2 linked regions of the Nothobranchius furzeri genome follow. The protein of the gene in region 1 binds, or shares a complex with, the protein of each later gene. Links are inferred from orthologs where the notes say so. Each region holds a gene or a part of one and is shown in the gene's direction. Other genes may lie near its edges.

Evidence for each region.
Region 2: the proteins of fibroblast growth factor receptor substrate 2 (region 1) and ntrk2a are in contact, whole or in part, in an NMR structure (PDB 2MFQ), measured with the Homo sapiens proteins. The link is inferred for Nothobranchius furzeri from reciprocal best matches to the Homo sapiens genes FRS2 and NTRK2. Residues at the interface, in NP_001036020.1 of Homo sapiens: Val26, Asp27, Asp28, Asp29, Gly30, Tyr59, Leu60, Cys61, Leu62, Arg63, Arg64, Tyr65, Gly66, Tyr67, Asp68, Ser69, Asn70, Leu71, Phe72, Ser73, Gly77, Arg78, Ile86, Ala88, Lys90, Phe98, Gln102, Met105, Gln106, Ser109; in NP_001018074.1 of Homo sapiens: Pro498, Asp499, Val501, Ile503, Gly504, Met505, Thr506, Lys507, Ile508, Pro509, Val510, Ile511, Glu512, Asn513, Pro514, Gln515, Tyr516, Gly518, Ile519.

Annotation. Positions count from the first base shown.
Region 1 is NC_091744.1:79,870,689-79,874,508, reverse strand, and holds part of fibroblast growth factor receptor substrate 2, read left to right. Parts: intron 1-1,378; coding exon 1,379-1,565; intron 1,566-3,820. UniProt on the Homo sapiens protein: Adapter protein that links activated FGR and NGF receptors to downstream signaling pathways.
Region 2 is NC_091757.1:48,553,762-48,557,581, reverse strand, and holds part of ntrk2a (BDNF/NT-3 growth factors receptor), read left to right. Parts: intron 1-415; coding exon 416-564; intron 565-3,820. UniProt on the Homo sapiens protein: Receptor tyrosine kinase involved in the development and the maturation of the central and the peripheral nervous systems through regulation of neuron survival, proliferation, migration, differentiation, and synapse formation and plasticity.

The DNA of each region.
Region 1 (3,820 bases):
AACTGTCCTTTGTAGGGATGGACAATATATCGGTATCAATATCTGCCGATGTTAGTCGGGTTTTTAACATATCGGTATTGGTTCGATAAATCAAACCGGGCCCATATTAACAACCGATATTTTTTCCATCTCGTCTCAATTTGTTTGCCTGTTTCAGAGGGTGGGGGTGGTGATGTGAATGAAATCATCTCAGAAGCGTGTGTGTGTGTGTGTGTGCGTGTGTGCGTGTGCGTGCGTGCGTGCGTGCGTGCGTAATAACATAAATTCAGCTTAAATTATTTCATTCTATACAAAATCTGCTTATTTTAGAAGCATTAATGTCAGAATATCTGTATCATGAGTATCGGTTATCGGCCACACCAGTGATCTTAATATCTTAATATATATTAATATCTTAATATATCCAAAAATGTAATATCGGTGCATCACTAATCGGTGCATCACTAGTCCTTTCTTCAGAAGGAAACAGCCACCATAAATCAGGTCATGTGGTAAGTAGCAGCTACGCTAGGGGGAGGAGATTCTGTGGTGACGTCATATATGCGACATACCGACATCTGGTGTGTAGTCATGCTAATTACAAACTTTTACCAGCTGATAAATCTCACAGTACGTGACTGGCGTGGTCGAAACATCATCATTACTTTTCACTTAAATAGACGTACAACTTGTGTGATCCAGGGCGTAAGGCAGAGCGGGTTAGGAGATGGCTTTTATCCCCATTGACTTGCATTCATTTTTTCGTTCCTCCGGGGACCCATGAGCCGACCGGAAGGGGAGGAGCCTTAGTGATTATATTAACCGTAGACCTCATAGGATTTGGGCATTTTAATGCCCAGTTATCAAAGTAAACAGCATTTTGTGCAGTGCCTGCCACTTCCGGACCCCCATCTGCATTTGGTGACATCTAGGTAACGTCATGTGAAACCTAGCAATAAGCAGCCATCCGCCACAACTCACTAGGGATGGAGAAGTTCGCAGGCACACACACACTAACAACTTATATCCCAAGTAGCGCTTCCATGGCTACATTGTGATTTCTTACTACATAAACGGCACCTTGGGGTTCCCTTTGCTCTGGGACACCAGGATGGAGAAATAGGCAACCCTCACGTCTCTGACTGCAGAGTTAAAGGAGGTCAGAAGGTCCTTTAGATGCAGCAGATGGACGTGGAGACGGGTTTTCTTCCACAAGCGCTCAACTTTTCTGCACTGTTGCTTCAGGCTGAAGTTAAACCAGAAAGTAGGGTTCACTGCAGGAGCTGATCGGGCTCTGACAGGACAGATGTTGTCCAGGATGGAGAGACAGCGCTCGTTAAAGCGAGTAAAGAATCTGTGTCATTATTAAGAGGAAAAATGTGACTGTGTTTGCTTCCAGGTGATTAATGTTGACGATGATGGAAACGAGCTGGGCTCAGGTGTCATGGAGCTGACCGAATCAGAACTCGTCCTTCACACCCATCGCCGCGATGATGTCAGGTGGCCATACCTGTGTCTGCGACGTTACGGCTATGACTCCAACCTGTTCTCATTTGAGAGTGGCCGGCGCTGCCAGACAGGCCAAGGTACACATGCCTATCCGAGTAACCTGCTCCACACTGGCCATGCTAACCAATCAGCTCACGCCTGTCAGCGATGGGGCATTTTAATACTGAAAACGCCACGTAGCTGCTCAGCAAGGGTGTGGCTTAACGACGAGCTCTTAGAGAGTGACAGCCCTAACCCAGAAAGGTGCTTCTGGGCCACAATAACCTTTGTGGCCCTCTGCAGTCAGAGGTGGCACCCACCATTTTTTTCTGATCTCATTGAACTAAGTTGGATCAGTACTTGTAAGATATCTATAGTCAGAAAGCAGCCAGAACCTCTGGACTAGTTCATCAACTTCCTGTTCAGCCTCAGGTAAAACCAACAGGTAAGGTAGGAAATGTGGTGGCATTTGGCTAAAGTTGCTCTGTGTCTAATGTTTCTCATGCATGCTGTCTGGACCATGGTCTGCTCAGGGTTGGGGTGGTATTGGTAAGTCTCAGATGGGTAGGCTGATCAGCTGATCAGTATTGATTGTGCTGTGGATACACAGGGATCAATATGTGTGTTGGTTTTGTGCACCCTACAGTCTCAGTGACTCGTGTGTTTGCGGCCTTTGGATGTGTTTTCCCTCTTCCTCGTCTGTCAGGTGTTGAAGTCAACTCCACGTTGTCCCATTAGACCTCCTGGTTCAGCCCCAGACTGTCGTCTCTCCACAGGTGTCAAATGGGCCATTCCCATCTGTACCGGGTCGGCCCGGGCCGGGTAGCGTAGGTTGTTTACATATCTGGGTGGCCTGGTATTTTTCCGGGCCAACCAAGGCTCATTCTCAGCCCTCTTCTCGAGGGGGTCTGCTTCAGGCCGACCAGGGCCAACACACCCACTGCTGACAGCAAATTCACACCTTCCATTAGAGCAAGCCTCTGATTGGTGGGTAGAATCAGCCCACATGGGCTTAAGACAAGGATGTGTGGAATCAACCGGGCCAGGCTGGGGCCGACTGGGGCTACCTGGCCCGGGCCGACCCGGTACAGATGGGAATGGCCCAAAACTCTGGTCCTCGAGGGCCGCTCTCCCACCTGTTGTAGTGTTTTCCTGTTTCAACACACCTGATTCCAACCAACAGGTGATTAGCAGGCTTCTGGAGAGCTTGATGAGCTGCTGCACAGGTGGATCGACTGTGTTGGAACAGGGAAACAACAAAAAGATGCAGGACACCGGCCCTGGACGGCTGGAGTTGACACCTGTGGCTTAGACCAACCAGGGGCACGTTAGCGCTGTGATGGAGTTAGTGGGCTGACCTGCTCTTGTGTTGATGGCCCCCGTGTCTGCTGAGCGTTTGTTGGACTTGGTATCTAAGCTAAGACCTGCTGGTTACCCACATTACCCCATGCTAATTAGAATTTTAGGATGTTTTTGAGTTGTTAACTCTAGGAATGGGCGATGTGGCCTAAAATCTCTATCGCCCTCATTTCTGAAGCTCATGTGGTGATGATACTTATTGCAATATGTTCTTTTCCTGTTTATACATGTCTGAATGACAATCTCGCATACCAGATGAACTGCAGAACAGATGAATCCAAAAAGTATTTGATTACTTTTCATGTTCAAAACTTATTTAAATTAAAATCCTTATGTTAAGGTTCTTTTTCCAATAAATGCAACAACTCAAAATGATCCAAAATGGGTTTAATGAAGGCAACTGGATTTCTTTGGTTTCACTTCTCGTCCAAGGAGCTCTGTCAGTTCAGACGGGAATATGGGAGAGTCGAGCTTAGAAGCTGTAGCTAAGGCTGATGGGGCCACTAGTGTACTGGGGAGTTGTACGGTGCCTGTCTGGTGACTTTAGGGTTTGGTTTCATCAAATATGTTGTGGTCAAACAGATCAGACCCTAAGAGGCTGAGTCCCTGACCATAGCCCTGACCACTTCCTGTCTGTAGACACTGGGGTTGCTCTGGATTTGGTCCAGATGTTTGGAAGAACTTGGTCTGCATTAGAGCTCAAATGACCGTCAGTTTTTGCAACTTTTCTGGTTTGCAGCTGCTCTGAAGGCTTTGATGCATTTCTGAGAACAGTCGTGTTCAGCATTTAGATGGTGAAGGGAACTGTCTGACTGCCTTGTCTGAGTGTGTCAGAAGCTTACCTGTCGCAGGTAAATCAGGAGGAGGACAGGTGAAGGGAGACCTGGAGGAGTTTATGGAAGGATGAATCCTTCTAATCAGCTGAGGAAACATCTTTAGCCACCTTGTTGCTGTTCAACTCTAAAACGTGTGTGTGTGTGTGTGTGTGTGTGTG
Region 2 (3,820 bases), on another chromosome or scaffold:
GGCTGCTTCCAGCACGTTTCCTGCATGTTTTAGATCATGAACACAATTGGTTTGTTTCATTTAGTGACGACCCACCCCTGCAGACATTAATGAAGGCTGGGGAGACCTTTCAGCTTTAAGGTGTTAAAAAGACAAACGCACAGCGAGGAGATCAGTTTTGTTTTTGGTTTAACCACAGAGAACTAATAACTGACACTAGGAGGTGCTAAAGGCAAGCACAACTGGCAAGTGTGCCTTTAAAGTTGATAAGTCACAGTTTTACAACAAACAACAACAACAAATTATTGTCAAATCTTTACAGTAGCTCCTGCTGTTTTGCATGCTTGCATGTGTGTGTGTGTGTGTGTGTGTGTGTGTGTGTGTGTGTGTGTGTGTGTGTGTGTGTGTGTGTGTGTGTGTGTGTGTGTGTGTGAAGGATCCTGTCAGGGAATCCTCTGCATTGCTCCTGTGAGAACATGTGGATCAAACTGTGGTTGGCAGAGGAAGCAGACACTCAAGAGCTGCGCTGCATTGAGGACGGAGGGGCACGCAAGCTGCTGTCCAAACTGACACCGCCAAACTGTGGTAAGGACACACGCACGCACCCCCCCACCCCACTCAAAGACAGACAGGGCAACAGACACGCTCTAGGTGACCAGTGCACAAAGCATTGAAGCATCTGAAGAGAACTGGAATTTACTGCAATAAGTTTATTTAAATAAACGTTTTGATTTGTCCATTAGTCTGCACGTATTAGGCACATCTTTATTAAAGGTACACAGAGTGCATTTGCACAAATGTGTTTATGTTTAAGTGCGACTCGTGCAGCATGAGACTTGTAACTGTAAAACAAAAGTGCTAAGTGTTTTGTCAGTTCCCAGGGGGTGTGTGGAACGCATGAGAAGGGAAGGGAGATTTGCTGTTAACACCTGAGAGAATTACTGTACAAAGAACACATTTCATGCAGCAACAACAGCGACTGCAGTAATCAGTTACACATATCTGCTGATTTGTGTGTTTGCAGGGGCTGCAAGGAGAGCCCTGCATACACTCTATTTCAGTTACACAAAGCTGTGCTGTCTTCTGATCTCCACACGTTGAAATGTGCAATGTTTCATGTTGCAAACAGATAAATGACACATGGAGGGAGTTTAAAAGTTAGACGATGTGTAACTAAGAAACTGTGTGTGTGTGTGTGTGTGTGTTATCTGAGACGTATGCACATTGGCTCTGAGAAGAGACTTTATTGGCCACATTGATGTAAAAACAATGCCAAAAACACACTAGTGCAATTTAACACATTGAAAACACCAATGAGCCTGAAAATTAGATTGATACAGACCATCTGCGTCATGTCCTTTAGCTCTGGTGATCCTGCTGCAACAAGGCAGGATGCTTCTGATGGCTTTGTCCATCAATCTCATGACTATGTGGAAAGTACTGAACTGCAAATAACAAATAAAAAAAGAAAAACATTTTCAAGCTCCAAAATTAACTCTCTCGGGCTCAAAATAAGTTTTGATAAAAGGACGAATAAGTCCTTCAGGGGTACTTCTGAGTTAAAAAATGCTCATGAAATAGGTATGTGGAGTAACCAGGTCGGTAGGTTTTAACGTTGCAAATCTGCAACGCCTGCCTCCAGAGGGTTAAAATATTTTTTTTATACTTTTATGAATTTTCCTTAATTAATTAATTAATTGATTGATTGGTTGGTTGGTTGGTTGGTTGATTAATTGATATTTTTTTTATGAATTCTTGACAGTGGGTGGATTTATTCACAAGTGCATTGTGAAGCTTGCTGTCAGTCAGGAGCCATCTACAGACCTGAAGTATCTGCATACAAGAATGTTTATCAAGCCTTAATGTATTAATGTCAGCACTTAATTGATACTTTATTCCTGTCTTCTTTATGTACGCAGCATGAGTTATTTTTATGAATCTTCTATTTTGGAGTCTTCTATTCATAAACAGGGTCAAATTACAGCTTGACCCGTCTAGTCTGTGATGGTCCTGCTCTTTGTCTCCAGGTTGTTGGCTTTCTGCAGCTTTTGTGTCTCTGTCTGAAATCGCCATATTAAAAAAAATGGAATTTGATTTAAGGACAAAAAGAAACATGCTCCACATTTTAGTATGTATAAATACTAAAGAGAAATTTAATCGGCCCAAATGAAAGGATGAACCTGGGAGGATTTTTGTCACATCTGCTGCTGACAGAGTGGTCAGGAATAGCTCGGGGCAACGAGAGCACTCTGGACACAAACAATAAGTTCGCTTACAGGAAGCTAACAATGACATTGATAACTCCTATTGATCTGTCCCCTCTGCCTCCCCTCCATTAACAGAGGTTATTTTTGGCATTAGCACAGCCACATTGGGGCCCCTGAAGTGGTGGGCAGGGGACCCCCAGCCGAGTGACATATGAGAAGGGGGACATGGTGGGGCAGGAGAGTCAAAAGACTCCCTGAGGCTAACTGTGACACACCAAAAACCACTCATCCTGACCAAACTGCTGGTGCCTCATCCGTATTTCCCATTTCCCTGTCTGATTCATGTGTGTCCTTGTGTCTGAACATTTCTGAGTGACATTGTGAGGAAGGCACAAAGGAGAGGGAATGCCCAGCGAAGCCCCGAGGCTGAGCCAACACTGATCTCTATCTGTTAGACAGCATACTGCCAAAGCTCCACCCAAAGAAAGGGCTGCTGCTGCTGCTGACCAATGCACTAATTCACCAAGCAGTGCTGCTCTCTTATTCTGCTTGTGCAATAAAGAAAAACCAATCTACTGTGTCACTCAAAGCTCAAACAGCTTCAGGTGGTAAAAGTGTAATGCTGACGGAAACAATAAAATAGGAGCATGAAACTACTTCCGCATAATTTACTTCCATAACTCTTTTAGATGAACAATGTCTTCAGTAACTTGGCTGCTGATGTGGAAATCAAGAATTATTCAGTAACCTTCGATCCATCTCTCCATCCATATCCTGCTTATCTTCTGGGGTTGGGCTGCGGGGACAGCAGCCTAATAGGCTCGACACACGGGAGGCGACAAACGGCCGCGATCAGCGAAATTTGTCGCTGTCGCTTTTATTACCTGTCACACGGGAGGCGATCCGCGGCAGCGGCCAGCGGCAAAGCCGTCTACGCGTTCTGTTCCGTGGCGAAATCGAAACTTCCGTAGTTTTTTTTGGCTGTGTCAGGTTGGAGGGAATTAAGGTTATTTAAGCGGTTCAGAGTTAATAAAGTGGTAGATATAATGTTTCACAAGGTGCTGCTAGAGTTATGTGAAATCTTACTTCTGATTTTACTATAAAACATAATAATAATAAACTTCTCCTTCATGTTTGCTCGGAGATGTGCGGAGCATAATGTCCGCTCATTGGTCAGTGAATGAAACCTCCGTTGATTGGTCCTCGTCCGAGCGACAGAGATGAAAAGTTGAAAATGTTTCAACTTTCTGGGATCGCGTCGCTGGGTCGTCCGTGCACGGCACATGCACGAGTGCAAAATTTCACACGCACATTTTTCGCGTTTCGCTTAGTAGGAGAGAGACCCGCGATTATCGCTTTGTCGTGCATGTCTCATTGAAAATGAATGGAGGAGAGGCGATGTCACCTCCCGTGTGTCGAGCCCATAAGAAGAGAGGTCCTTGGTCTTCATTTACGTCTCCTACCAGTTGGATGTGCTCGAAAAACCTCACCAAGGATGTATCCAAGAGAGATCCTAACCAGATGTACAAGCCACCTTTACTGGTTCCTTTTAATATAGAGGAACAGCAGATCTACTCCAAACCCCTCCTGGATGACCGAGCTTCTCACCACATCTCTAAAAGAGAGCCCAGCCA